4 linked regions of the Notamacropus eugenii genome follow. The protein of the gene in region 1 binds, or shares a complex with, the protein of each later gene. Links are inferred from orthologs where the notes say so. Each region holds a gene or a part of one and is shown in the gene's direction. Other genes may lie near its edges.

The links.
Region 2: GTF2F2 (region 1) and GTF2A1 share a complex: the UniProt entries of both Homo sapiens proteins name them as parts of the TBP-based Pol II pre-initiation complex. The link is inferred for Notamacropus eugenii from reciprocal best matches to the Homo sapiens genes GTF2F2 and GTF2A1.
Region 3: GTF2F2 (region 1) and GTF2H5 share a complex: the UniProt entries of both Homo sapiens proteins name them as parts of the TBP-based Pol II pre-initiation complex. The link is inferred for Notamacropus eugenii from reciprocal best matches to the Homo sapiens genes GTF2F2 and GTF2H5.
Region 4: GTF2F2 (region 1) and POLR2H share a complex: the UniProt entries of both Homo sapiens proteins name them as parts of the TBP-based Pol II pre-initiation complex. The link is inferred for Notamacropus eugenii from reciprocal best matches to the Homo sapiens genes GTF2F2 and POLR2H.

What each region holds. Positions count from the first base shown.
Region 1 is NC_092877.1:295,657,800-295,664,666, forward strand, and holds the start of GTF2F2 (general transcription factor IIF subunit 2), read left to right. Parts: upstream 1-3,854; 5' UTR 3,855-4,100; coding exon 4,101-4,166; intron 4,167-6,867. UniProt on the Homo sapiens protein: TFIIF is a general transcription initiation factor that binds to RNA polymerase II and helps to recruit it to the initiation complex in collaboration with TFIIB.
Region 2 is NC_092878.1:65,974,224-65,981,072, reverse strand, and holds the start of GTF2A1 (transcription initiation factor IIA subunit 1), read left to right. Parts: upstream 1-3,841; 5' UTR 3,842-4,295; coding exon 4,296-4,325; intron 4,326-4,966; exon of another isoform or gene 4,967-5,210; intron 5,211-5,484; exon of another isoform or gene 5,485-5,603; intron 5,604-6,849. UniProt on the Homo sapiens protein: TFIIA is a component of the transcription machinery of RNA polymerase II and plays an important role in transcriptional activation. TFIIA in a complex with TBP mediates transcriptional activity.
Region 3 is NC_092873.1:251,843,810-251,851,434, forward strand, and holds the start of GTF2H5 (general transcription factor IIH subunit 5), read left to right. Parts: upstream 1-4,606; 5' UTR 4,607-4,742; exon of another isoform or gene 4,743-4,794; intron 4,795-5,639; 5' UTR 5,640-5,699; coding exon 5,700-5,734; intron 5,735-7,625. UniProt on the Homo sapiens protein: Component of the general transcription and DNA repair factor IIH (TFIIH) core complex, which is involved in general and transcription-coupled nucleotide excision repair (NER) of damaged DNA and, when complexed to CAK, in RNA transcription by RNA polymerase II.
Region 4 is NC_092873.1:56,975,341-56,982,649, reverse strand, and holds the start of POLR2H (DNA-directed RNA polymerases I, II, and III subunit RPABC3), read left to right. Parts: upstream 1-4,294; 5' UTR 4,295-5,283; coding exon 5,284-5,356; intron 5,357-7,309. Other genes in the region: CLCN2 (chloride channel protein 2), read right to left, coding at 1,451-1,510. UniProt on the Homo sapiens protein: DNA-dependent RNA polymerase catalyzes the transcription of DNA into RNA using the four ribonucleoside triphosphates as substrates.

The sequences.
Region 1 (6,867 bases):
AACCAATGCAGCCAAGATTAGAAAGAAAACAGAAAACTGTGGGAAAGTTTTTTATAGACAGTTTCTTGGATAAAGGTCTCATATGTCAAATATATAGAGAACTCTGTCAAATTTATAAGAATATGAGTCATTCCCCAACTGACAAAGGATATGAACAGGAAATTTTTATATGAAGAAATCAAAGCTAATATAGTCATATGAAAAACAGCTCTAAATCATTATTGATTAGAGAAATGCAAATGAAAATAACTTTAAGATATCTCATATCTATCAGATTGGCTAAAATGATAGAAGGGAAAATGACAAATGTTGGAGGGAATATGAAAAAATTGGGACACCAATACAATGTTGGTGGTACTGTAAACTAACCTGGAGAGCAATCTGTATTTATGCCCAGAGTTGTAAAATTTTGTATACTCCTTGATCCAGCAATACCACCTATTAGTTCTGTTTTAAGATGATCAGGGAAAAAGGAAAAGAATCTATATGTTCTAAAATATAGCAGCTCTCTTTGTGGTGGCAAAGAATTTGAAACTGCAGGAATGCCTGTCAATTGCGGAATGACTGAACAAGTTGTGGTATATGATGGAATACTACCGTGCTATAAGAAATAATGAGCTGGATGGTCTTAGAAAAACATGGATAGATGTATAAAATAATGAGGAATGAAATGAGCAAAACCAAGAGAACAACATATACAGTAACTGCAATATTGTTTTAAGAACAACTTGGAGCAAATAAGTCATTTTGACTTTTATAAATACCCAAATTAACTACAAAGGACATATGATAAAAGATGCTGCCTGCATCCAGAGGAAAAAATGACAAATAGAAGTATATGTAGAATGATTTTACGTGTATATACGTATCCATCTCATATCGCTCTTCTCAACTTTTCCTTTAGTCTTCCTTAAAAATGAATAAGAACTTATAAAAGAAGAGGTTATCCACTCTCAGAGAAACAGTGGACAAATAAGTCTAGTACAGTCTTACATAGATGCATATGAATGTATATGTCTATATATTAATATGATTATAGATATCTAAGTATATGTAAGTATAAGCAAGTGTATGCATGTAAGGGTATATGTATGTATGCATGTATGTATTTTATATGTATACTTATGCATATATATCTGAACTTAATTGTAGCCTTCTGGGATAGAGAAGGAAGCAGGGGGGTGGGGCAGGGGAAAGAACAAGTAAAGAGAGCACAGCAGAGAACAAAAGAAAACTTAAAGGACACAAAGATGGACAGCTCAGAACACAATGTGTAGTATTTATTATATAGACTGTCTTGAAACGGAAATTTATTGCTGTGTATTGCAAATCCTTTCATGTTCTGCTGTGCCCATGACAATTCATCTTTTCTTTTCTTATATTGTATTGTTTTGATATTTAAGTTTATAATATGTTTCTTTTTCTTATTGTGTATTTAAGTTTTAGTATTTAAGTTAAAAATACATTTTAAAAAAGAAAAAAACAGAAACAAAAAAATAAAAATAAATGAGAAAGACAAAGGAATAAAAAAATTCTTATGTGGAGATTGTTTACTGATATTTGACTCAATAACCTAAATCCTTGGTCCTAAATTTTTTTTTGGTATTATGTATCTGTATATAGCAACAACCTGTAGTACCTGTCTTTAATAAGTATCACTTTAATGTAGACATTAAGGTCATTAACACAGAATGTAGCACCCAGAGGATGTAGGACTATTTTTTGCCTTTCATTTTATCCCTATTGCTTAGCAAAGTGAATGGTACATATTCAGTACTTTAAAAAAAATACTTGTTGCCTGACTCTGGTAGAAAGATTGCTGAATTTGGAGTCAGAGCAGGTCGGCTCTACTACCAGTGCCACTGTGGGTGAATCATGTCCCGGCTCTGACCCTTTTTCTCATCTGTAAAATGTGGGTTTGTACTAAATGACCTGTATGGTCCTTCCCAGTTCCATATCTATGATGCTATGATGAAAGCGAACCTAGCAATCTGAGGAAAAATGGAAAAGGTTTAAAATAGTGGTGTGGGAGGGAATTTGATCGTTCAAATGGAATCAAATAGAAAAAAAGTACATGGCATTCAGCAAGGCCCACCTAATGTGACAATAATGTCAATTTATGCAGGAGTCAGTGGTTCTGGATTTGTGATTTCATCCAGGAATAATATAATATTATAAATCTGGAGTTGCAAGGGACCTCAAAGGCTAACTAGTCCAAAATTCTCATTTCACCAATAAGAGAAGTGAAGTCCAAGATGGCTAAGGGACTGATCCAAGTTTACACAATAGAAAGCATCTGTGCAGAACCAATAACAGAGAAAGTGTATAGTATAGTATCATTTTACCCAGAATTGGTAAGGTAGCATTGCAACTGCTGACCATGGGGTCCCAGACACAAATGAAGTCAGAAAGGAAATGAAGGAATGAAGGACTGGAAGAAAAGAAAAGGGTAGAGGGCCTGAAAATCATCAGTCAATTCAATTCAATTCAGCAAGGATTTCTTAAGTGCAATGTGTGATTTAGTGGAAAGAAAATTGGTTTTGACATCTGAGCGCCTGGGTTCAAATCCAGCCTCTCGTGCTTACCACCTGTATGGCTTTAGGCAAGTGACTTAATCTTCCAGGGTTTCATTTTCCTGAAATGTAAAATAAGGGGGCTTGCTGGAATGGCTTCTGAGGACCCTTCTAGTCTCCTCTCCTGGATCATATGTGTCATTTATTGTGCTAAGCATAGGAAATAAAAAAAGGAAACAGTCTCTGTTTTCAAAGCCTTATTTATATTCTACCGCAGGAGACAATATGTACATAGATATGTAAATACAAGCTATATACAAAGTATTTGAGGGTGTGAGATAAAAACATAGGGAACCACGACAAGTGGGGAGTAGGAGAAGTACAAACCCAGGAAAGTCTGCAAAGCTTATCAAAAGAATAATTCCCTCTGCTCTGAATACATGTAGCATACACGTGCTGCGTGTATCATCTGGCCCATTTCATCAAGCCTTACTTAGTAATATTTCACATTCTAGCATGCTTATTTTCCATTATCCACCCTGTCTACTGAGAGGCCCTCCAGATCCATGGGCCTTGCCATCTGCCCTGATGCATAATGAGCCCTCCCCGACTTAGCTGGAACCATAACTGGATCAATTGTCACTGGAAAGGTAGTGTCAATCAATCAGTCAACATTTATCAAGTGCCACATGCCATCAACATTTTTGCCAATCATTCACAATCCCAGTGACTTCCCAAATCAAAGCACCCTTTACAGTAACTTCCTTCTACTAGAATAAGTACTTGGGGGCAGGAACCATCTCCTTCCTGTTTTGGTATCCCCCTGGACTTAGCACGGTACTGGGCACACCATAAGCGCTTAATAAATGCATTTTCTTTTATGCCTGTCCAGGCACTCATTCATAGCAGTGACTAGAAGAGGGAGTTTCACTGCACTGCTTCTCGGAGATGGAGCAGTTCTGAGTGATAACAGATGTTTATCACTATGGAGAGGAGGGTCACGGAATAGAGAAATCTGGGGAGAGGGTGTGGGGAAGGTCAGCACCCTGGAGAGCTCGGAGCCATGGGAAGACTTTTGGTAAGGAATGCAAAAAATGTTGTGCATGACCTTGGCGAAGTCACCTGAGCTCTCCTCTGGGAGCTGACGAACGTTCTCCCCAGGCTCTTCCCCAGCTGCCGGTCCATCTACAGCTCGTCCATCACACCTTAGCAAGTCTTTATTCTGTAATCCTTCTGGGGAGCCCGGCCCTACTAAGCAACAGCGTAGAGATCTACAACTGCGCCTCTTCTCGGAACAGCCCGGTAGGAGCCGGCATCCCCGCTCCCCGCTCCTGTCCAAATACTTCACAAGCCACGCCCACTTCCCTGAGCGGAACGAAGGATGTATGTCCTCCACGAGGCACCGTAGGGTTCGGACGTAGTGCGCAGGCGCGGCTTCCCCGGTCTCCGGAGCGGCGTGCTCCCCTCCCCCAAACTAGCCGCTTCCCGGCTTTGGAGCGACGCCGGTGGCCCCAGACCTCCTGACTTCCTTCCTCGGACCCGCGCCCCCTTCTCCTCCACCGGCGGCGGCGGCGTCGGCGCAGAGTCATGGCCGAGCGCGGGGAGCTCGACTTGACCGGCGCCAAACAAAACACTGGAGTGTGGCTGGTGAAGGTAAAGGCCGACTGAGCCCAGCCCCCCAGGACGCCCCCTCCCCCACCGGGGGTCCCGCCTTTCTCCCCCAAGCTCCAGGGGGTAGTCCCAGCGTGGATTGCGGGACAGTTACTGTCACAGTGTTTCACTCCACTCAGCACTTGGGGTAGGGGGTGAGGTTGGGAACGCAAAGACTGGGAGGCTGGACTTGGGGGAAACATAACATGCACCCAGAAAAGTAAGAGCAGAACGTGAGGTTATCCGTGTAGAGCTGGAAGTCCCGCTCCTTCATTTAACAGAGGAGGAAACTGAGGCACCGAGCGGCCAAGTGACCCGGCGTGGCGGGGAGTCCGGGGAGGGCGCGGGTGTCAAACAGCCTGCAAGTGTCCGAGTCTGCTTTGGAGCCCAGGCTTAGCGTGATGGTTAGATCCACCGGTCCAACCGGCGCGTCCCATGCGGTCGTGTGGGAGGGGCCGCAGTCTGGGGCCCCGGGGGCGACCCCCTGGTGAGCGCGGGGGGGGGCGGGGTGTGCAGGGCAGAGGGGATGAGGCTTGTGCCCTCCTGGTACACGGACACGATCCGCAGGTTGTAGTAAGTGTGGGTCTAGGACGGCAAGGAAGAGGGTGACTGAAGTTCAGGGAGAAGCGCGCCGTAGAGAGCAGGACGGAGGAGGAAGATAGCGGAGCGTCTGGACGGAGGAGACTGCGCTCGGAGAAGTCCAGCCGGCCATGTGGTCACTTCTCTGCCGGCCACCGAGGACGGATAGAGCGCTGGGCCCGAGTTCGGATGCTGCCTTCGCCCTGTGGGCCTCAGGGGCCTCCTCTGTAAAGTGAGCTGGAGCACACCCCAATGGAGTCACAGAGTTGGACTTGACAAGTGATTGAACAGGAAAAGAGGAGAAGTTGTTTAAGGGTAGAAGGGAGGAAGGTAATGAAGCTTCCTGGAGAGGTTAGCTAATCACATGGTGCAGAGGCAGAACAGAATAGTGGTTAGAGTTGGAGAGGAAGAAGGTGAGCATGGATCAGGGTACATTTCGTGGAAGAGGTGATGTTGGAGTTGAGCTTTAGAGGGGGAGGGACGGCACTTCAGGCTTAGGCACAGTGGTGGGAGATCATTACTTGGATGGGTAAGCAGGTTGTGATAGATGTGATAGTGGGAGGGTAGCCCCTCTCCGCTGATTTTCCCCACCAGACTTCATAGGAGCCTAATCCATAAAGTGTGTACCTGAGGCACGCTTTGAACCCTCTTAAGTGCCAAGCCACTGGCTTCTAGGCCTCTTTCATCACAGTGTCATTCTTATTGTCACATTTCAAATGGACCCTGTGAGTGGCCAAAGGAGGAGATATGTATTTATTAATTTGTTCATATTGTATTACACCTGCAGTAACTATTTTTCTGTGAATTGATCAGATTCTCAATCCTGGCATGTTTTCAAAATGTGCTCTAATTCTTCTTACCAGTTCTAGTCATGTTTAAAGACAATTTCATAAAGCTGTTGAATCAATCCAGAAATAATTATTGAATACCTGCTAGGGTAGGCATTGTGATCGATATAAAGAATCTGTGTTCCCTGTCTATAAGAAGTTTGTGGTGTAGTTGGAGACGCACGTCAGCACATGAAAAAGTGAATAAAATTAAATAGCAATAAAGACAATAATATAAGAACTCGCTTGCCGGGTAAAGATAATAATTTACGTGGTGTTTTAAAGTTTAGAAAGTCCTTTTCTGACTACAACCTGTTCAGGGAGATAGTGGAAGTCTCATCATTACGTTTTCGTAGATGAGGATACTAAGGCCCAGAGAATTTAAGTAATTTGCTCAAGGTTATCCAAGTGGTCTGTGTAAGAGCACAGACATGAACCCAGGGCTCCTAAATCCCAAGTCACTTCATTATGAGTCACTCAGCCAGCAAACATTAAGCTCCTACTATGTGTCAGGCCTACTACTTGCTAGGCACTGGGCCTGGTCTTCAAGGAGCCAACATCCTATTGAAGGAGACAACGTGCACATATGTACAAAATACATAAGAGTTCAGGGCTTTCTTTTGCTTTGGTTTTGGTGGTGCTTGAGATGAACTTCTGAGGAAGCTAATAGGGATTCTCAAAGGTGGGAGAGAGAAGAGAGCAGCTTGTGCAGAGGCAGGGAGATGGAGTGCCCTGTGTGAGGGACAGCCAGAGACCAAAGAGTTCACAAAGGGGAGGGATGTTGTAAACTTGGATAGACAAGCTGGATCCTGGTGATGAAGTGCCTTTGATGCCAAATAAACTATGCATTTGTGCTTGATCCCAAGGGACTGTGTGGTATAGTAAAAGGAGCATTGAATTTGGAAGGGCCTGGATTTGTGCGCAGATCAGTAACTTAAGACCAGTGTGATCTTGGCCAAGAATTTTAACTTTTCTGACTCTCAGTTCCTCATCTGTAAAATTACATTGGAGTACATGGCTTCTTCCTTTTTTTTTCTGCCATAAAGATCAAATTGTCTTATTTTTCTAATTTAATGATTTTATTATGAACTTGTATAGCCATCAACAAATATAATTTCTATAGACAAAAAAACAGAAAAAGAGAATTGTATATGAAATTGAAACTTAGGTATAACTTTGTTTTTTTCTTAAGCATACAGTACATTGTACCCTTCTGTTTGTGTCTCTGAATCTTCCTTTGCTTTCTTGATATTTTATGTCTCGTTAATGCTGTTTTTCTTGAACAATGCTATTATTTC
Region 2 (6,849 bases), on another chromosome or scaffold:
CAGAGTACAATAGGCTTAATGTTTCGGGAAAGGACAGGACAGAATAGGACAGGACAGAATAGGAGGAAGTGAAGGGAAGGGAAGGGAAGGGAAGGGAGGGGAAGGGGCTAGTAAAATAAGTTAACTGGATATCTTTTGGCTATCCAAAGGGGCCATGCCCTAACTATTTCTTAAACAGGTCTATTCAATGAATGGGTATTGCCTCACCCTAAGTGAATACCTGCAAAGACCTTGGCCTAAAGGGCCCAAGGTCTCCCAGTGCATCCTGGGTCATCTCCAGTCATCCTGATGAATATCTGGTCACTGGATTCAGATGGCTCTGGAGGAGAAGTGAGGCTGGTGACCTGCACAGCCCTCCCTCACTGAAAACAAAGTCAAGTGTAAGTCATGTTATCATTTCTCTGATGGCATGGTCTTCTTTGGCGATGAAGGATGAACACGATTAAAACCTTAAACCTTAAAACGTTCAAATATGTAGTCAATTTAAGGTCCTCTTAATACAGTGCTGAATATATACTACTAGGCCTTCTATAAATGCTTGCAGAAGTGATTGAGGAGTATATTTAAATTTCATTCAATAGAAAGGAATTGCACTGTCATTTCAATTCAGTTGAAGGAAATTTGGTTGTACCTATTTACTTATTAGGTTTTATAGTACCTCTTCTCCAGATAACTCAAGTATCGACAAATAATTTTAACAATGTTTTAAAGTACCATATACAAATACGGGGATCTGTCCTCAGGTATCCCTGTACCTGTTGAATTTTTAGTCTCCTCCTCAAGTTGCTTATCTTTCTTTGTCCTACTCTCCCAACCTCCCCAGTTATCTTAAGGTCACAGAATTGTTGAAATTGTTGTTGATTCTTCCTTCTTTAAGAGAACCAATGACACCATGAAGGTGATGTCTTGACTTACTCATGGACTGTATTTGAGGCAGGGCTGTAGTCCTTAGCCTTGCTTTCTCCTTCAAAGTCATTGGAGTCCAGTGACAAGACAAAAGTCAAGACAATGATAAGGGCAATGGCCCTTAAGATCACAGATTTAGAGCTGGAAGGGACCTCAGAGTTCGTTGAGTCCAAACCCCTCATTTTGCAAATAAGGAAATGAGACCGGAGAGATTCAGTGACTTTACACACAGCTAGTGAATGTCTGAGGGACAGCTAGATAGCACAGTGGCTGGGCTGGGAATCAGGAAGATTCATCTTCTTGAGTTCAAATCTGGCCTCAGCCACCTACTACCTGTGTGACCCTGGGCAAGTCATTTAACTCTGTTTGCCTCAGTTCCTCATTTGTAAAATGAGCTAGAGAAGTAAATGGAAAACCACTCCAATATCTTTGCCAAGAAAACCTCAAATGGGATCATGAAGAGTAAGACAACTCAACCACAAAGTAAGAATTTGAGACAGGATTCACACTCAGGTCTTCCTGACTAACCCAACACCTAAAACTGATTTAACCTCACTGGGATAAGAATCCTAGATGTATTGTCTACCAAATGATCTTTAAACTTGTTATACACTCTGAATCTGTGGTGTGTTGTGGAAAGCAATGAACTTGGATCCCAATCCTAGCTCTTTTTATTACTTTGTGACCCTGGGAAAGTCACTTAACCTCTTCATGGTTTCATTTTCCTCACCTCATTGCACCAGATCTCTTAAGGTTCCTTCCACTTCTGAGTGCTATGGTCATGAAGTGGATAAAAATGTTGTTCTGGATAATTTGCTACCCTGATTAGCTGAGATCAGAACACAATAAAACACGCTCAACTATTCCTAGATGACAGATAGGACTCCTCCTTTTAGGGAGTTCTGCTTCTACGTGGTGCAGCCTTGTGATGAGTGAGGTAGGTAGTGACTCAGGGGAGGCATCTGGAGAGTGATAAGAGTGAAGTGGCTTGGTAACCTGAGTCTAGTACAAAACCTTAAGTTCATAACCTTCATTTCTCCTCTTTCTTTCTGTGTTTTCCCCTTCAGAGCCCACATTTCGTGATTTTTTTCCTTTTAAGACTGCTCTTGCTGATTCATTTGAACTTGGTATCATTTCTACAAAAATGTCATTTCAGCCTTGCCCAGTGCCAAATAGGATCCTTCCCCCAATTCCTTAGATATGCTAACTGTATGATTCATAGGCACACATAATGATGATTAATAATATGGTATCATTGCATAGAATTATGAAGAAAAATTTGAGTTTGCTGGCTTTCTGGTGATTTCCATTCTGGATCCATGGGGGCTGTGACTTCTCAGTTTGGGGTACAAGGGAAGAGTCAGGCTGTTGTGCTTCTACCCTCGCCACTGTTTCTGTCTTCGGAGAATCTAGGATTTTTACTTAACGTCACTGCTGTCTTAAATAAAGGTAAATAGCGTACAGCTGTAGAGGATTTAAACCGCAACCTGGTAAGAACGCCGGTGCAGGAGGCAGTACGCGATGACAACACACACGCATGAAGTGCCTGCTGTGGGCCAGCTAAGCGCAGGAATGCGAGGACAGAGAGAAGACCCCCTGCTGTCCAGATCCCGGCCAGCCTCGCACAAACAAGCTGCGTGATGAAGGGGCATCAGGGAGAGACTTGTTGTATAAGGCAAGAATGGCGAGGGGCTGAATTCCGGCCAACGTTCCACTCCCGGGAGATGGAGCGCATTGTTTGAGGGCGCCGCAGCGCCCGTGCCCCTGAATCGCAGTGTTTGGGGTACTTCTTGGGGGGTGGAAAGGGGGGTGGTGGAGAGCTCTGAATGCCAAAGCATCTTAGAAGCACTCGCTGTGCGCCACGCACGGTGCGACCTGGACGAATTACAGAACAACCCGGCAAAGACCCCCCTTACAATAAGAGGAGACACGTGGGGAGAGGGCTCCAGGGAGGCGCACTTGGGGCGACCCAGTCCTGCCATGTTGAGCAGTTCTCGAACTGCGGCTGGGGAAGGAGTCGGGGTTGCTCACGAACTGAAATGATTTGGGGTGTAAATCCTGGAAATACTCCAGTCGGTCAAGGCGGATACCAAGTGTCAATCTACCGTTTCTACAACAGGACTTCGGCAGCGTCGGATAACCGAGTCGGGACAAGCACGCACGTGCCCACCAAGAGGCCCCTCCCCCCATTTAAAAATGACGCGTGCATAAGCGCACAGAACCCCGCACCCCGTTCCCTTCGCCGGAGCCGCGGGCGGCAGAGGCTTTCAGGCGCGAACGCCGGAGGGCTGGCTTCCCGAGCAGCGCGACCCGGCGGCTGCGGCCGAGAAGCGGCAGGAGGAGCTCGTCCCAGGTGTCCCTCGGCTCGGGGAGTGATGACTCCGCAGATCGAAACTTAAGCCAGCGCCCGGCTCGCTGGGACAGGAGAGTCACGTGACCCGTTCATCCCCGGCCTACCCCAAGGCCGGAGCTAACCGGGCTTGAAGTGAGCGCCACTTCTGAAATTCCGCCGAGCTGAGAGGGCGCGCCCCTGGGGAGGGAAGAACGGGCGGCCGGTCCGAGACTCGCGAGCTGCTCGATTGAAGCTCCCGCCTTTCCCTTCGGCCGGTTTAATCGGGTTTTTTTGGTTTTTTTTTAACTCTTATCTTTCCAAAGTCAGAGACACGAAAAGAAACTTCCGCCTGGGTCACGGCGGAGGCAAAACCACGTGACCCCGGCACGAGAGGCGATTGGGAGTGGGGGGGGCGGGAGTAAGTCGGTCCATTTCCCAGCTCCGCAGCCTGGCGGGGAGGGCCTCACCTTCGCACCGTGAGAGTCCCTTTGGCAGTCTCGCGCGCCCCCACGCGTGCGTGCGCCCGGCCGCTCTCGCGTTGTCTCGCGCCGCCTACCCCCCCCTCCTTACTCCTCCTTCCCCTCCCACTCCGCTCCTTCCCTCCTCCCCCTTCCCTCCCCTCCCCTTCCTCCTGCCCCTGTCTCTCGACGGTGGTGGCTCGCGCAGCTCGTTGGCTCACTATATAAAGGAGAGAAGCGGGCGGAGAAGACGGCTGGTGGCTGCAGCCCGTGCGGCGGCGGCGGTAGCGGCAGCGCGGGGGGCGGCGACCGGTGGCGGTTTCGCTCCTTTGCCCCGGGCGGGGGGCGGGGAACGCTCCCCGGGACCCCCGAAGGGTCACAATTTTTTTAAGGGCGATTCTCGAGGATCTCAGCTCCCGGAGGACTCCCTCCCCCCCTCACCGCCCCCCCCTTCCCCCTACTCCACCTTCGGGACTCGGTTTCGTTTTTCTTTTTTTTTTTTTTTTAAATCTCGGTGATCTGGTTACAGTCGGGGTCTCTTTTCTTTTTGTTTTTATTTCTTTTTTTAAATTTTTTTTGTTGTTGTGTTGTGTGTGGAAATGGCGAACTCGGCAAATACAAACCCCGTGGTAAGGATGTGACTCGGTGACCGGCGGCGGCGGCGGGGGCGGGCGCGGGCTGGGGGCCCGGGGCCCGGGCCCGGGAGCCGGAGCCGGGATCAACTCTTTTCCCCCTTCCCCGCCCCCACCCTCAGCCTCCTCTCGCTGTCGCCGCCGCCGCCACCTCTTCCCGCCGAAGGGGAGACCTGGGCCGAGGGCGGGGGGAGGGGGGTGGGGTGGAGGCCAGAACGGGGGGCTCATGGAGGGGGGTGCAGGAGGAGGGGGGAGAAGCGGGGGAGACGAGGGTCCAAGCGGAGGGCTCTCAGCCGCGCTTTCAGGGTGTCAGGAGGGCTCTCCCCAGGTTAGTCTCCACTCGGGCGAAAGAAGAGGCTGAAAACTTGAGAAAGGGGAGGGGACGGGGCAGAGACCCTCTCCTTCCGCCCCCTTCCCCCCAGAAAACCGCCCTAAGATGGTCTCGGTGGAAGCGGAGTTGGTTTTGTTTGGGGGGGAGGAGTTTAGAGAGGAGCTGGATCCTGCGGGGCAGCCGACAGCTATGGCCGCGTCTCGGACGGGGAGACGGAGTCCCCGAAGCCCGCGCTGGCCCCATGGAGGGGGAGAAATCCGGGGCTCGGGAAGAAGATTAATCTTCCAGACCCCGCCCCGATCCAGTGTGCTGGGGGTGGGGGAGGTTTCTTTTCTTTATTTTTTTCTTTTTTCTTTCCTTTTTTTTTTTAACGAGGATGCCTTGGACTAGCGCGAAGTGTGAGGCGACCCTTGAGTTTTGTGGTGGTTGATTTCTTTGGAGCTGGATGGGGCCATTTTACGTTGGAAAAAGAAGGTTGAAAAGCACTTGTCCCATCTCCTTTAGAATCGTTAAAATGGCGAAGGGGAAACAAAATCCCGTCATACCTTCGACTAGCAAGAGGAAAAAAATGACATTGACCAAGGCACCCCTCCGCCTGAAATGCCGCCTCGTCTCCCCCACCCGTCCCCGGGTCCTTTTATTTTTTTTGTTACTTGCAGTCACATAGGTTTGCAAAAAGCAGTCACATAAATAACCTTTGCAGTCACCAGTGCCATGTGATCCTCGATCCACCCGACTCTCCTTTATTATAAGACTAATAACAATAAAAAATGCCATCCCCCTCCCCAAATGCGGCCAGCAAACCCTCTGTGCCCAGGACCGTACCGTGGAGACTCGGCCCCTTGTTTGCCACTCTCAGAGAGAGATCGATCCATCATGGCTGCTGCAGCTTCCCCTGCTTTTGAGTCCCTGCTCCTTGTGGTCCTCCTCCCTTTGGCTGCCCTGTTTATATAGAGCCATTGCGCTCTCTAATATAGACTCTGCCAGGATGGGAAGGTGCTTTTCAGCCCTACGTCACCGGCTCTCCATTTAAACCCCAGATCAGGCTTTAAATAGTGAGAGCTGCGGAGCGCGAGGCTGGGAGGTGCATGCTCCGCGTGAGGGAGGATTCGTGCTCGCCTGCTTGGTTCTGGGTGGCCTCTTCTGGCACTTGAGTTGTGCAGCTCTGGGGTCCAGCTCTGCCTTGCTCGTCGACGCCGGCTCCTGCTGCAGGCACTTGCTCTGGCTGCTTTTTGAACGAGGAGGCTGTGGTCTTCTCTGGACGGCTTTGGGGTATTTTTTTCAAGAAGGAAAAAAAATGAGGCCTTCCTTCCTAGTACCCCAAGTTTTTCCAAAGTATTTGGAAGTGGAAAATAAGCCACATTTGTTGTAACTTATACGGAAAATATAGGACAAGCTGTCCAGGGTTGAGGTTTTTTTTTCCAAGCATTTTTTGCTTACAGATGACTTCAAAACATATTTAGAAAAACCTGTTTATTGAAAATTTTAAAATTGTAAAAACGTCAAAATCATACTTGTGAAATGTGGAATACTATAGTAAATGTTAAATGTAATTTCCCTTCCATGCTTTTTCTTCAGGGAAAATAGTATTTTCATTGTGAATGAAGAGGTGCTTTGGAGTGCAAACACTGTATTTAAAAAAAAAAGGTAGCAGGCTAACAGAATGCTGAATTGATAGATATTAACATTATCCTTGTTACACAAGCAATTTCTATTTTTTTTTGCATTGTGTTTGTATATAGGGTACTAAGTGTGTAGATATGGAATTACAGAACCTGTCATCACCACTACCCTTAGATGTACATGGACCACATAGGTATTTGTTGCTATATGTAATAGATGAGTGTACCAACAACTGTGTATATAGAATTTTTGTCAAGTAGAACCAATTATTCCTATTAGGGGAACTGATTAAGAGGAGCTCTGTAATAATAGTTGATGATTACATGGCTACATGTATTATTTCATTTGATCCTTATGACAGTTCTGTCAGGAAGTATAAATATTTATACTGTTTTATTGATGAGGTAACTGAAGTTCAACGTTGCATTACTAACAGGAGTTGGATGGATTCCGGGCTTGGGAACTGGATTTGGAGACAAGATGATGTTTTTTCAAATCACATCTTTGCTACTTAGTATAACTACAACTAAGCCCTGTCTTCATCACTTAAAAAAGATAGTTGGACCA
Region 3 (7,625 bases), on another chromosome or scaffold:
AGCTCTAAGGGAGGTAGGCCAAGCAGCAGTGGGGGCCCAATTAAGGCTGTGTGACATATATGTGAAGAGGATCCCATTAGAACGATTACATAATGTTCTCCATCTTCATTCAGCAGAAGTAAAAGCACTGGTTGGCAGAGCACCACTGACAATATAAGGAGACCAGGAACCTGAGAAAAGAGAACAGCACAGAGCTGAACTGGTTCAACAAGGGTTTAATAAGGGGAAAAGAGGAGAGAGTGCCTAGTACAGATGACCTAGGAGAGAACTAAGGGTTGAGGAACTGGAGGCCAAGGTGTGGATGAAAAATAGGGTTTACAAAAGGAAGGCCAAGGGAGAGGTGGAAAGTCAAAAGATTATGGTCAGAAAAGGTGATTTCAGAATTCTTGAACATGCAGGTGGTACATCTGCAGATGATGGAAAGACCAACGGTTATCTTTGTGTGTAGCTAAGGTAGGATGGAGGAGTGAGGTCAAGGGAAGTTAGTAGTATGAGCAACTGAGTGCTTAGGGTGTTTGAGGGTGAGTCAGTACATGTGCTGAAATCCCCTAGCATAAGGGGAGGAGTTAGGAAGGAGAAAAATCGTAAGCCAGGTATTGAACTTGCTGAAGAAGGAAGGAGAGAGATGTGAGTAATTGGAATAAAAAACTGATCAGCTTACTATTTGAGTTTAATTATATATAAGAAAGGGAAAAAGTGAAATACCACTTTGAATTGATTTTTCAAAATTATCTTTTAAACAGAAAATTAATCTCTCTTCTAGTTCTGGAAAAACTTTCCTTAGCCTTTTTTCAACTTAAAGTGCTTCAATACCAGAAAAAAAACTATATTCTCAAAAATAAAACAAACTCAACATTAATAGAGCAAATTGATAAAATGGTCTAATTTTATAAAATATTAAATTAATAAAGTGGTGGAAGTCCATGATACACATATGTTTAACAAACCATGCACTCAGCACTTGACCCAATGCTTCAAGGTACTATGTTTGGAGCTACAAGAGATTCAAAACTCAGTAGTTCCAGCTCCATACACAATAAGATTGCTCACAAGATAATTTTTGTACCTTTCCTATGACATTTTGTTATATAATACTGTGGGAGTTGAGAAGTGGAAGTGATTTTCCCACCTGGGAAGATCAGGAAATGCTTCATAAAGAAGATGGCAATGATTTGACTCTTCAAGTATGGGTATGATTTGAACAGATGAAGATGAAGAGGAAGATATTCCAGGCAAAAAAGTCTTTAATATAATTAAAGGGAGAGTGATGGAGTAAGGAAGAGGCATGTTCAAGAAACAGAGTGACTAGGCCAGTTTGACTGGTGCACCAAATACAGAAAGAAGAATAAAAGATAAAAATTAGAAAGGCAGCTGGATTTAAAAAATGGAAAATATTAAATGACAGACTGAACTGGACTTTTATTCAGTATGTAATGGGTAGTCATTTAAGTTTTTTGATCAACTGAGCAGAGTATATGATTCCAGTTATATTTATAGGATTATTTCCCTGGCAGGAGTATGCAGGACAGATTGGGAGAGAAAGCACAGGCACTTAATAAATATTTGACTGATTGACTGACGAGAGAGCCTGGAGACACAAATCAATTAGAAGGCTACCACAATAATTAAGGAAGAAGAAGAAGAAAGGGAATGGAGAAGTGAACAATCAATAATATTTGGCAATGTACTGGACTAAGTAACGGAACAGAAAAAGGAAACAAAGAGGTCTGAACTCTGAAGTTGACTGGGAAGATAGTAGGACCAATAATAAAAATAAAGAAATCAGAAGATAGAGTGATTTTGTGAGAAAAAACACCCAAACACCACAATTACAGATAAAGCAGAAAACACCATAACCATAGGTCACTTACTTCTTGCTACACGACTGGTAAAATTACTTTCTTCCTGTTTCACAAATACTAGAAAATAAGAATAAATGTACTTTACAAATCATTATATGTATATACTACATATTTATGTGTTCATTTTTAATAATTATCTCCAAATTTCACATGTCCTACCAAACAAAACTTACCCTAAAAGCTTCCCTGGTGTGGCTCCACTGTTGACTACAATTCTGTAATAGTCTATGGTTAAAGAATAGAAGGCTATAGACATCAGACTCCCTTTGATACCAGTAAAGTCCTGAAAGGCATGCATTATATTAACTGCACTGTTGTTTTCATCTCCAGCCCTCCACACCACTTAGTTCAGTACTCTGCCCTTAGTTATAATCAATAAATGCTGTCCAATGACCCTAAAGACTACTGGCAAATAAAATCACACTTCATGGGAAAAAGATGAATGCTGAAAGCTGTTTCTCAGGGTTGTTTTTTTTAAATAGTCAATAACTCATCTAGGCCAACAAATGATTTTTCAACCCTTAGAAGTTTTGGATCATTTCAGTTTTTAATGACCCCTCTTAGCTTTCTTTTCTGATTTATTAGGCTCAGTGCAGAACCTGCTTTTCTTTTCTCTCCACACTCCTTCACTGGAAGACCTAATCAGCTCCCATGGGCTCCATTACCATCTCTATGCAGGTGCCATTCAACCACACTAGACATTTCAAACTGAATGCCCATAGGCATCTCAAATTCAACATACCCAAAACAAAATTCATTCTTTCTCTCTTTTTCTCTCAATCCACCTCTCTTACAAACTGCCCTATTATTGTTAAGGGTACAACCAGTCATCTAGTCACCTAGGTTCAAGACCACAGTGTCATCTTCAACTCACTTTCAATTATCCCATCTCTCCAAATCAGTAGCCAAAACTTATCACCTCTGTCTCCGCAAGGCTCCTATACATCCTTCCTTCTCTCCCTTCACACCTCCATCCCCACTCCCACCCCTCCATTCAAGTTCCCTATCACCTCTTACCTAATTTGTTATCCTTACTTCAAATCTTTCCCTAATTCAATCTCTCCTCCACACACCCATCAAAATAATTTTCTAAAGGACAGGTATGACAATGTCACCCCACATTCCCTTACTCAATAAGTTCCAGCAGTTCCCTATTATCTCCAGGATCAAATATCAATTCCTCTGGCATTCATATCTCTTCACAACCTTCTGTCCTTCCAATCTTTTATGTGTTAATCCCCTGCTTGCACTCTTATCCAGACATACTGGCCTACCTGCTGTTCTGCACACAAGGTGTTCCACCTTTCATCTTCATTTCCCTTCTTTGTGGCTTCGAATAAAAAGGTGAGTTGTCCTCTGTACCTCGTATGAACTCCCTCCTCACCTCAACTCAAATGTTACCTTAACCATGAAGCCTTTTCCTGATCCTTCCAGCTGGTAGAAACTTCCTTCCCTTCTATTCATTTTGTGTATATATATATACAAACATATATGTATATGCTTATATATGGACATGTCTCCTCCATTAAAACATACATTCTTTGAGGGCTGGGACTGTTTCAAATTTGTCTGTGCATCCCCAACCTTTAGCACAGTGCCTGGCACACGGTAGGGACGGTTTAGTGAATGACTGACAGGTTAAGTGACTTGCCTTGGGTCACCACAGCTTAAATATTTGCATTAGAGATAACTCATGACCTGGGAAAAAAGAGAGACTGAGAAAGAGACAGAGAGAAGGAGGGAGATAGAAAAAGAAAGGGGAAGAAAAGAAAGAGAGAAGAGACAGACAAGCGAGAGAGGGGAGGGAAAGACAGAGGAACGGAGGAAGAGGAGACAGAAAGAGACATGGAGAAAATAGAGAAAGAGACAGAGAGAGACAGAGGAGGGAGAGACAGGCAAGAAAGGGAAAAAAACAGAGACAGACTGGACGCGAGTGGAAGGGGAGAGATAGACAAGACAATCATAAACAGACAGCCAAAAGACAGAGAGCCCAGGAAGGTGAAGAGAAAGGAGAGAGAGAACAGAGACAGGAGAGATGAAAGACAGGAAACAGAGAAGGGGGAGAGACAGACAAGGGACAGGAAAAGAGAGATAAGACAGAGAGAGGGTGGATCGCAGTAAAGTGTGAGGGAGGACATCAAATTGCACAGCAATAAGAAGTGAGAGGGAGGCGAGAACATTGGTGCAGCCAGGGCAGACAGCTGTCTTCCAGAAGCCTGGCTGTAAGAGGGAGCTGTACAGACGGAAGACGCAGAGGGGAAGGCACCCACCACCCACCTCCAAAGGAAGCAAAGGGAAGCAGGAAGAGGCGCACGCGCACTCACGAGCCAGGGCCCAGCTGAGCACGCCACGCCCCCCGCCTAAGCAGTCAGTCGGTTAAGGGCAAGGCAGGACAGCGCCGGGCACAGCCGGGCAAGGCCAGGGTCAGCCTCAGAGAAGCAGTAGGGTGGCCCGCGCAGCTTCTCAAACGGGGGTGCTCCCGTGGCTCCGCTCCATCCCGCCCCAACGTATCCGGCTCCGAGCCTCCCCAGCCCCCGGAGGAGTCACAACTGACGCACTCCTCGTCCCTCCCCCGCTTCCTTCCCACCTACCTGGCTGCTGCGGGCGGATCGTTCCCGCCCACAGCCGAACTGGATCTGGTGGGGGGGGGGAAGGAAAGGAGGAGGATAAGGGAAAAGACCCACCCCGATCCGCTCCCGGGCCCCGGCGCCCAAGAGCCTCTGCCACTGGCGCGGGCACGTGACCCCGCCCTCCGTTCCTCCCACGGGTGTAGCCCCGCCCCCTCTGCGTAACCTCACCGACCCGACGCAGAAACCTACAGCGCAGGCGCACTCCGCTGATAATTCCGGCGAGCTGCAGCTGGGACCTGGCTGGTCGGAGGTGCGTCGCTGTTGTTAGGGATTGGTAGGTGGTGTAGCTTCCGGACTCGAAGGTGAGAGGAGTACGCCTGGAGTGGCCGAGGGATAGCTAGGCCCAGGGTTAGCCACCCCTTCCTCTCCCTGCCGTGCTGCCTTCCTCAGGGGCTGCGGAGCGAAGGCACGGCCTTGCCCCCCCTCCCCCAGCCCGCGGAGGATCTGGAGTCCTCGGCGTGTTGGGTGCCCAGAGCAGGACCCGGGAATGTGAATAATAATAGTAATTTACTAAGAGCCGATTTTTACGTAGCTCTTTAAGGTTTGTCAAGCCCTTTACGTAACAACGCTTTTCATTTGTTGTCTCACTTCAAGCAGCCTTCTCAGGCTGCCGTGAACCCTTCCCCCATCCCCTTTTATTGTGACTTAGATTGATTGCATCTCGGCCTGGACTGTCTATCTATTACCGGTCCCAAGCTCGGACCCTAAAACACATCCAGGTCCTCATCCCCGGGTTTCTGTAGGCGTCCAAGTGCCAGCAAATACTGGGTTGGATGTGGTCCTGGATTATTTTTTTTTAAAAAGCTAGAATACCCAACTATCCCTAATAGTTAATTTTTTTTCCTATTCACTATGTCCCAGCCTTTACTAGAATGAGTATTTAGAATTTTGTTGTATTCCATATATTTAATGTGTGCAATTTGGTGAACAAAATTACACTTGATGATAGGTTAAATTTTAAGGGAAAGTCAATGATGACAACTGAGCTATATTTTCTTTGTAAATATGCTTTATCGTCTTTGAATCAGAAGTGTTGAAAATGACTTTTGTGGGTTTATGTAGTAATATCATCATTTTCATTATCCTTATGTTTCTTTTAGTGAAATGTTAAAATTGATTATTGATTGATTTTTTTTTTAAATTTTAGTTCACTTCGTCCCTTTTGTTGACATCATTGACAGCATTTGACACTTGTAACTTGGAGAAAATGGTGAATGTCTTGAAAGGCGTACTTATAGAATGGTTAGTACTTTTTCACTTATGAGTGTTGATTTTCTCACTTACTTTTTTTTGTTCCTACGAAGCCCATTAGTTTCCTCATTTATAAAATTAGATGATCTGACTCAGTGATAATCTAAGGCCACCTCCTGCTCCTTGAGATTTTATGATTCTAAGTCCCAGTGAAGCTTTTCCTGATTATTCCAGGCCTTTTTGGTTTTCCTTTTCCTTTGAACCACCATTGAACTTAGATGTTCTACCCTCTGGTTTGGTACTTAGAATCACACATTCTTAGAGGATGTAGGACTACCAGTTGACACTTTTCCTTCTCCTCTGCTAACTTCTGACTCTTTGAGGAACTGTGCTCTATAGTTCTCTCCACTTAACAGCAACCACCAAGTTCAAGGCACTGTGGGGACACTGGTGTACATTAAGTAGTTCAAAGCAAAATAGAGTAGCCTCATGATTGACTGATGTTAGTTTACATAGAGAAATAAAAGATACAATTGGATGTCTTTTTTTAACTTGGGCTATTTATACCTCTTTTTGGAGTGTCTTGCAAGTTTATGTTGATGCGTGGGTAATTGACCTGATTATATATTCAGTAAGTCATAATTCACATTACATGTGGGGATGTTCTCTAATCAACTTGATGCATTTTACAGGATGTTGAGAGTCTTGAATTTGGATTGTGCCTTTCTCTGAAGAGCATAGACACTTCCCTGTATATTCTTTAGGTCTCTTTTTAAAGACTAGTGATTGTTTCATGGGTTGAGGATAAATACAGGCTTTGTTTTTTAAACAGCAGTGGAGATTAATTGTTTGGCACTAGAATGTTTCTAGTGGTGTCACTACCCTAGAACACTACCACTATAGCTATTCATTCTCTTCTCTGTAAATGGGAGTAGTAGTTGTTTCAGTTTTCTTTCTCTTACTTCCCATTTGGGATTTTCTTGGCAAAGATACTGGAGTGGTTTGTCATTTTCCTCCTCTAGCTCATTTTACAGATGAGGAAACTGAGTTAAGTGATTTGCTCAGGGTCACACAGCTACTAAGTGTCCGAGGCAGAATTTGAACTCAAGAAGATGAGTCTTCCCAACTTCAGGCCCATCACTCTATCCACTGTGGCATCTAGTTATCCCTAAATGGCAGTAGATGTTTTAAATGCTATTGAATATGCTAGCCTACCTTCTGGAAGATATGATAAAAGTTCTAAACAAAAGCTCATCATACCTTAAAATTCATCAAATGAACTTAAATAGAGTTTTAAGTTTTAAAAAGTTCTCTTCTTACAACAGCCTGTTAGGGCAGGCATTTCAGCTACTACCCCATTTTACAAAAGAGGAAATTAACTTGCCCAAGGGTACACAGCTAGTAAATATTAGAAGTAGGATTTGAACCCACATCTTCTTGATTAGTGGTCTTTCAGTTGTACTGTTTGCCCTTGAATGGAAGCTTTAAAAAAAAAAAAAAGATACAAGTGGCACAGACGTAACATATTAATGCAGATATCTTGATTATGCAAATACTTTACTCAACTTATTTCTCAGAAGCAAAGAACACTATTCAATTCAAAGTATTCAAGTAACTTTCTGAGGTGAGAAATAGAAAATGCTGGACAGTTAAAGGATCCCAATATTTTCTTAAAGGTTGAGAGATCAGCAATACATTGAGAAAATTATGAAAGGAGCTTCTCTGTGCCTACACACTTTCTAGTTTTAGCTTTTTTGGTGTAGTTGCTCTAGATGATCATCTCGGAAAAAAGGCTTATACTTCCTGTGTACACATCCTCATCAGCACCCACTACAGTCTAGTTCCCATCATTCAACAAAAACTTTAATCCTCACCACTCTACTGAAACTGTTCTCCCCAGAGCCACCAGTAAGTTCCCAGTTGATAAATCCAATAGTTGTTT
Region 4 (7,309 bases), on another chromosome or scaffold:
GAAATCAAAAGGGAGAAGGAAAGGGGAAGGAGAAAGGAGAAAGGAAGGAAGAATGGAAGACAAAGGGGAAGGAAATAAAATAAAAAATGTTAAGGGGGAGAAAGTATAGAAGAGGGAGAGGGAAAAAAGAGAAAAGGAAAGACTTGTCGCCGTAAAGAAAAGGCAAATGGAACCAGAAGACAGAATAAGCGTCACGTAGCAAAAGATGGAAAAGGTGAGAGAAGAAGGCTTCAGGACTGAAGGCTGATCTGTACAAAGAGATGGGGAAAGGGGTCGGGGGAGACAGACAGGCCCCTTCAGATAGGAGCCTCTCAGTGCTGACAGCGCAGGGATCTTTTCCCCCTGAGAGATCGTCCCATGTGCACGTTGGGTTTTTCCAGCGAAAAGTACCTGACGTCTCCCCCAGCCCCAGCACATCTCTGGTCTCTCCCCCTTTTTCTCATCTTCATCTAGTCTCACTCCCTTCACCTTCCCTTTGTTCCTCTTCCTCAGCTGTTCCTGTTCCTGAGCTCCCTCCCACCCATTAGCCTGCTGACCAGCCCCTCCCTCATTTACTGTCTCTAGACAAACTATCCTCTGGCAGTCTCTGATCTCAGTGCTGGTCCATGCTGCCTGGAGTTCTTCCACTCACTCCTCTGCTTTTCCCCGTGGCTGAGGTTCCATCCCAGCTGCTGGATTCTAACCTGGGGAGAACCCCCTTACCCTGGCTGCCCTCCCCGTGGGTGCTGGCAAGAGATAAATGGAAGCTGGAATGCCAAAGTATAGTGGAGATCAGCCCAGTGAGTCATCCCAGCTCAGAGCCCCAGTCATCAGGCCCCCTAATGGGGTCAGAGGACACAAGGTCCAGGACTGGAGCTGGGCCTGCATTCCACCCTACCACCCAGGGTCTGGCTTCAGGCTGAACTGGACCATCCCAAACTAGAAGAGATGCCCCACCACCCCCAACTCTGTCTGAGCCCAACTCTGGGCTGATCAAGAGTTCAACAAGAATGGGGAAAGTGGCCAGTGGAGGTACTAGATGGAGCCGGAGAGAAAGGAGCAACAGAGAAGAGGAAGGTCAAGGAACTTGGCGGTGGGTGGTGCTAGGGCTCTGCTCTGTGCCCAGGGGAGAGGTAGAAGGGGTAAGGGAAAGGGTGGGGACAATCTTGCTGACCTGGAGTCTTTGTCTAGTACTCCTAGCTCCTCCATTCACATCTTAACCTCTTCTGACAATTCAGTTATTCATCCCATACCTGCCTCAGTTTCCCCACATAGGTAGATCTCTCATTCCTGCTCCTTTGTATGTGTGTGTGTGTGGGGGGGGCGGTGAGGGGGACAGGGGAAAGAGGCATATACGGTAATCACTAAGGCCCGGCCAGAACCGCCCCCCCGCCCGCCCCCTACCCCAAGCTGCAGCCCCAGCGGCGGGTGGAGAGAGATCCAGGACTGGCTACGAGGGGTCTCCACTCACCAAGGTCTGCTCATACTGGAGAGCCCGGGGCTCCATCCCTTCCTCTGCGGCCGCCGCCATCTCCTCCACGTAGGACAGCCTGGCCTGGGGCTCCAACTCCAGACAGCTCAGGCTCAGTGGTCCAAGCCTGGGTTCTCCTCCCTCCCGGCACTACTGCCTACTCAGCTCGAGCCCTGTCCCCGCAGGCTCCCGAGTGCCGCCCGAGCCCGGTGTGGTCTCCCCCACTTCCCTCCCGTCTCCTCCCCTCCCGGGCGGGCCAGGGGCGGTTCCCGAGGAGCTGAGCTGGGCTGGGCAGTGCTGCTCCTCCCGGAGGGGGCGGCTCAGGCCGCGGGAGGGACTGCGCCCCCCACCCCCCGCCCCAGGCTCTTCTGGGGGGTCCCGCAGGGTTGGGGGAGCGCCCCACAATCTGAGATCTCTCCCTGGGACAGCTCCCCCTCAGCTCTCTTGGCCCTTCCCACTTGGGAGCTAATCCCTCCCCTCCAAGGCCTTGCCGAGCTCTGCTGTCCCGCCCCCAGACTGGAAGAACCGACGCAGGGGACGTGGGTTTCCGTCCAGCTTTGTGTGACCTTGGAAAAGTTACCAAACCTCAGTTTCCAGAGCTCTAAAATGAAAGCGTTGTACGGAGGACGTCTAAGATCCTCCCAACTCTAAGATCTATGACCCTGTGATTTTGAGATAACCGTTAGAGCGAAATCGGTGATCCTGGGAGAGGGATACCAGCCCAAGCCAACGGGTCACCGGCCAATGTGGCGGAGCCATAGAGTGCTAGCTACATCAGGGAGCGAGAATTGTATTTGGGTCTTTGACGGGGCAACAAGCTTTGAATTGTGTCACCTGGTCTCCCACCAAGGTTGGGCTCTCTTCTTTCCTTATTCGTTTTGTCTTCCCTCACAGTCTATTCCAGCCTCATCACTCCAGAACTAGGGACTTAGGGGAAAGTTCTTGAAGTTTCATTTAGGGACAATCAGGATTTCTGGTGAGGGCACTGAGGAGGGAATCTGAAGTAGGGACAGAAGGAGCTAGCGGCTCCTCCTGGATCCTAGATCCTAGAATCCTAGTTGGAAACACCAGTCCACCCCAGCTCATTTTGCAGGTTGGTGACTTGTCTTTTCAAACTTAGGTCTTCTGACTCTAACTCCAGTCATCTTGCCCCAGCATCATTCTGTAGGTAGAAACTGAAGGGATGAGGGTGTAATCAATCAGTTAACCAACAATGATTAAACATTTACCACATGCTAGTGAGAGTCCCTGCCCTTAAGGAGAGTCTAAGAGGTCAGGGTCATTTTAGGGCTACAATAACTGAGAAACACTCTCTAGATGTCAACTTTTTTTCCAAGCCCGAAGCTCCTCTCTTTTTAATCCAAGATCCCTTTGTTCATTCATGTTCTCTTTACCTCTTACCTGGAGTGTACTGGCCTTCCTGCCTCTAGTCTCTCCTCTTTTCTATCCATTCTTTATGGGGTCCCAAATCAGACCTGCACAGACTTGAATATGATTCTCCTATTCTAGAACTTTTAAGTGGATCCCTTGGCTAGGAATTTCAAATTTCTCAGCTTAGGATTTAAGGTTTTCCCCAATCTGCTTCTTTTGATCTACCTTTCCAAGTTTATTTCACATTACTCTACCTTTCCTTTGTGTTCCTGGCACAAAGGGAGTGATTGATAAGGGCTTTTAAAAAATTTATTCATTTATTCAACCAAGTTAGATTATTAGTTCCCTGAAATTAATATCCCTGCCTCAGTGCAGTGACCAAGGGAGCAGCCCTGCCTGGAATTTACTCCCTCCTTCTATCTGTTCCTTAGACTCCTTCTGTTCCCTCAAGGCTTAGCCCAGGTGCCACCTCTGTCGGTCTTCCTTAAACTCTCCAGGCAAAAGTATTAGCTCCATCCAGAAAATATCCTAGAGTACTCTGGAGTCTCTCCTTTGCTTTGATGTATTTTATTGGGCATTTTGCATCTCTTTGTAGGATCCAAGTACCTGAAGGTAAGGGACTATTTCATTTTTGTCTGTTATGTCTAAATATTCCTGTAATTTTTGTATGTATGGACCACTTAACAAGAATTTGTTGAATTGATTTCTCAATGGGAGAAGGCTTGATCAGCTAGAGGTAAGAAGAAAAAAACTGAGTGATTTGGAGGAGGGCATCTTCCTGGAACCAGAATGAGAATGGACTCATCCTTGGAAGTGACATGGATAGCAAGGATATTAGGAACTGAATTCCTTGGGGGTGGTGGTGGTGGTGGTGGTGGTAGTGGCATGGTTCCCTTTTCTCTTTATGTCTGTGTGCCTCTCTTGGGTGCTGTATCTGGTGAGAGCTGGGCCTGGCTATGACTGGCCAGGTTGTAATGATGGGGATGGGGAAGACTAGGGAAGAAGATGGGGAAGATAGAAAAAGGAGAGAACCTAGGAGGGAGTTGTAGAGGCCACTCCCCTGAGACTGGCCCTAACTAGGCAGGGGTGTGGGGGGGCAGAGATCGCCTTTTCCTGGCAGGGCCCCAGGCCCGAAACCTGAGGAGCTGCTGACGTGCTAGCCCAGTAGGGAAAGAATGGAAGTGGCAGCGAGTTCCAGAGCATGGGAGTCAATGCGGGTGGGGGAGGAGGCTGCTAGGACAGGTGAGGGGGCAGGAGCAGGCAGTGGGGAGAGGGATTGTCAGCCAAGGGAAGAGTGCCCAGGGATGGAGCGGGGGTGGAGTGGGGTGGGCAAGTGCCAGGTGTGTGCAGCACCAGAGACAGGTAGCGTGGGCAGTGCCAGAAATAGACTGTGCCGGGCTGACAGTGCCAGGGTGGGCTGCTCCGGGGAAAGGGGCAGGGCTACCACCCGATGATCTCACTGCAGATCCCCAGGAGGGCGGGGCCACGCCCCAGGACCTCGGCTGCGGTCGCCCGGGGGAGGTAGTCACCTCGAGGACCGGCCGTGCTCACCTCCCCCGGCCCCGACCGAGGAGGAGGAGGAGGAGGAGAAGAAGGAGCGGGGCGAGGTCCGCACCAGCCCCCAGGCCCGGCCCTAGTCGGGGACCGAAGCCCGGGGGCGACCTGTGGACAGGCGGGGCTGGCACTGGACTCTGAGCCGCCCGATCAAGGTCGCGGCCAGGGGTGGAGCTGAGATGGGAGGCGGGGCCTTGGGCGGGACGACGGGTTATTCTGCGCTCTTATAGGTCCGAACGAATTCGGGGCGGAGCCAGACCCAGAGGGCGGGAGAGGAGGCAGGAAGAGCTCTCTTTCGGCATCTTCATAAGGCCTGCACGAGCTTGGGGGGAGGGGCAGGGTCTAGGAGGCGGGGAAACCGGCCCAGCGTCCTTATAGGCCTTAGAGGGCTTGGGGGGCGGTACTGTGGGCAGGACCCGCGTCCGTCCTTTGCTCTCTGGGACCTGGAGGGGCGTTACCGGGGTCGAGGGGCGGGGACAGCTCTATCCTCCACCCGCCGCCGTCCAGGTTTTCAAGGTCTCCGGCTCGGGGACACACAGCTAGATTCATGGCCTGTACTAGGGACTGTGTGGGGAGGCGGGATGCGGAGAGGAAGCTCGAGCAATTGTCAGGACGTGGGGGGCAGGGGCGGAGTCAGTGCCCGGAGAGCCAGGCGCTGAGCCGGGTCCCACCCCCTTGGCCAAGTGCGCATTCTCCGAACGGCGTCGCGACAAGGCCAGCGGCCCGAGGCGAGAGGGGGTGGAACGGGAAACGGTGAAGAGGAGGAGCGGAAGCGGAACTGCGTGTAGACGCCCGCCCCTAGCTCGCGTGCCGCGTTTCTGCGCACGCGCGGTCCCTGATCTTGCGCGGCTCTCGCGCCGGCCTCGAGCTTGCGGTGCTTTGGCCCCCGTCGCTTCCCGCGGCCAGCCATGGCCGGCATCCTGTTCGAGGACATTTTCGATGTGAAGGACATCGACCCCGAGGGCAAGAAGTTTGACCGAGGTGAGGCTCCCCCCGGGGAGGCCCCGCCCCCAGCCGTGCGTCACTGAAGAGGCCCCTTCCCCACATTTCTCTTCAGCCTGAGGAGACTCCCTCCTCCCCGACCAACAGGAGACCCCGCCCCCCGACTCCTCCTTGAACCCTCTCGCCCCTCCCCTGAAGAGACCGGACTCTTCCCCATCTTCCGTTTCCGGGGAGTATCCGAGCAGCTACTTGGGCGCTTACCGTGTGCCGGCTCTGTGCCCCGCGATCTAATGCCGGGCGGGCTCCCGACGGGGACGGGCCAGCCGAGGGAGGGCTCGGGGAGGGGCCTGGGAGCGGAGTCGGCTTCGGGGGCCCCTGAAGTGGGGGGGAGGGGTGACGTGGTCGGACTTGCTTTAGGGAAATTAGTCTGGGGACTGAATGGAGGATGAGCGGGAGTGGGGAGGGACTGGGGCAGGATGACCCCCCCCCCCCAGAGTCCAGGTACAAGGGGATGGGGACACATTGGAGACCTGCTGAAAAGACCAACCGGGCAGGATCCATGAGGATGGGGGAGACGTGGGCATAGCCGGTAGGGAGAGATTGAAGAGGGCTGAAAAAGTGAGGGTGGCAAGGGGGCGGTTAGGATGGAATGGGGTCTCTTGCCACTTCTGTGAACTGGGTGAAGGAGAAGAGAGAGGGAAAAAGATCTGAATGATGAGACAGGGGGAAGAGGGATCTCTCTGAATGAGTGTAAAAGGATTGCTTTGCTGCAGTGAGGGCCCAGATGAGTTATGTAACATGTTTGTACTGGATCCAGTTATTTTGGTTTTGTGGTTTTTCTCCAGCTTTATTCAGCATCACATGAGCAGGAGTGCAGGCAGCCAGTGGTGACAGCAGATCAAAGCTGGGGCTTTTCAGGGCAAGATTGGAGACAGGACAAGGGGGCAAGGGAAGGGGGAGAGGGGACAGCAGAGAGGTGAACTGGTTCAGTGAGGTGAAGATGGGGAACAGAGGAGAATGTAGTCATTGCAAGGCCCAGGAGAGAACTGGGGGGTGTGGGATTGGAACAGGAGTAGAGGAATATTGATGTATGCACATGTGATGGTGGGGAGATCATCTTAGGGAAGGTCATCTTAGTGAAATCAAGAGGGGGAGAAAGTACCCATAGTGTGGCAGAGAGGGGAAAGGGCTGTGAGGTCAAAGAACAGGCAATTGAATCTTCCTGTCATTCTGGGGAAGGAAGACTTGGGAAAGGGGAAGGAGTAGAATCACTCAGTCATCAAGCACTAATTAACATTTTGATGTTCCAAGGACTGTGCTAAGTGCAGGATGTATGGAGAAAAAGGGAAACTGGTCACTGTCTGCTAGGAGCTTACATTTAATGGAGACAACATGTACCTAAATAGGCTCATGTGTACCAGACAGGCACTGTGGGGATGCCCTCCAGGACTCTGTCCCAGTTCCTTTTCTCTTTTTTCTTTATGCCTTCTCATGTGTTTCTTTATGCCTTCTCAACATAAGACTGTGTTGTCTTATTGTCCCTGCACAGATGACTCCTGGAGATGTACTGGTCCAGGACCAGTATACTGGTCCTATATACTGGACCTGGATCTAATCCTGGTCTTTCTCCTGATTTCGCATCCTGCATCCTACCAACTGCCTGTTGGATGTTTTGAACTGGCTATATCTAGGCATCTCTGACTTTAATGTGTCCAAAACAACTCACTGTCTTTCCACTCAAAGCTGCCCTTCTTCTGGACTTCCCTGTTGCATCACCTACGTTCACAATCTCGTCATCATTCTCAGTCCTCATACATTCTCACTGTCCCCACAGACTGGGACAGTTTCCAAATCTTGTTTCTTTTTCTACAACATCTTTTGGCTGAATCTCTCAGTCAGTCAGGAAACACGTAATAAAAACCAAACTCCTGGGATACAAAAGGAGACTAAAGCCACTCTTCCCTTTGCTCACACAGTCAGTACCCAAGTTTA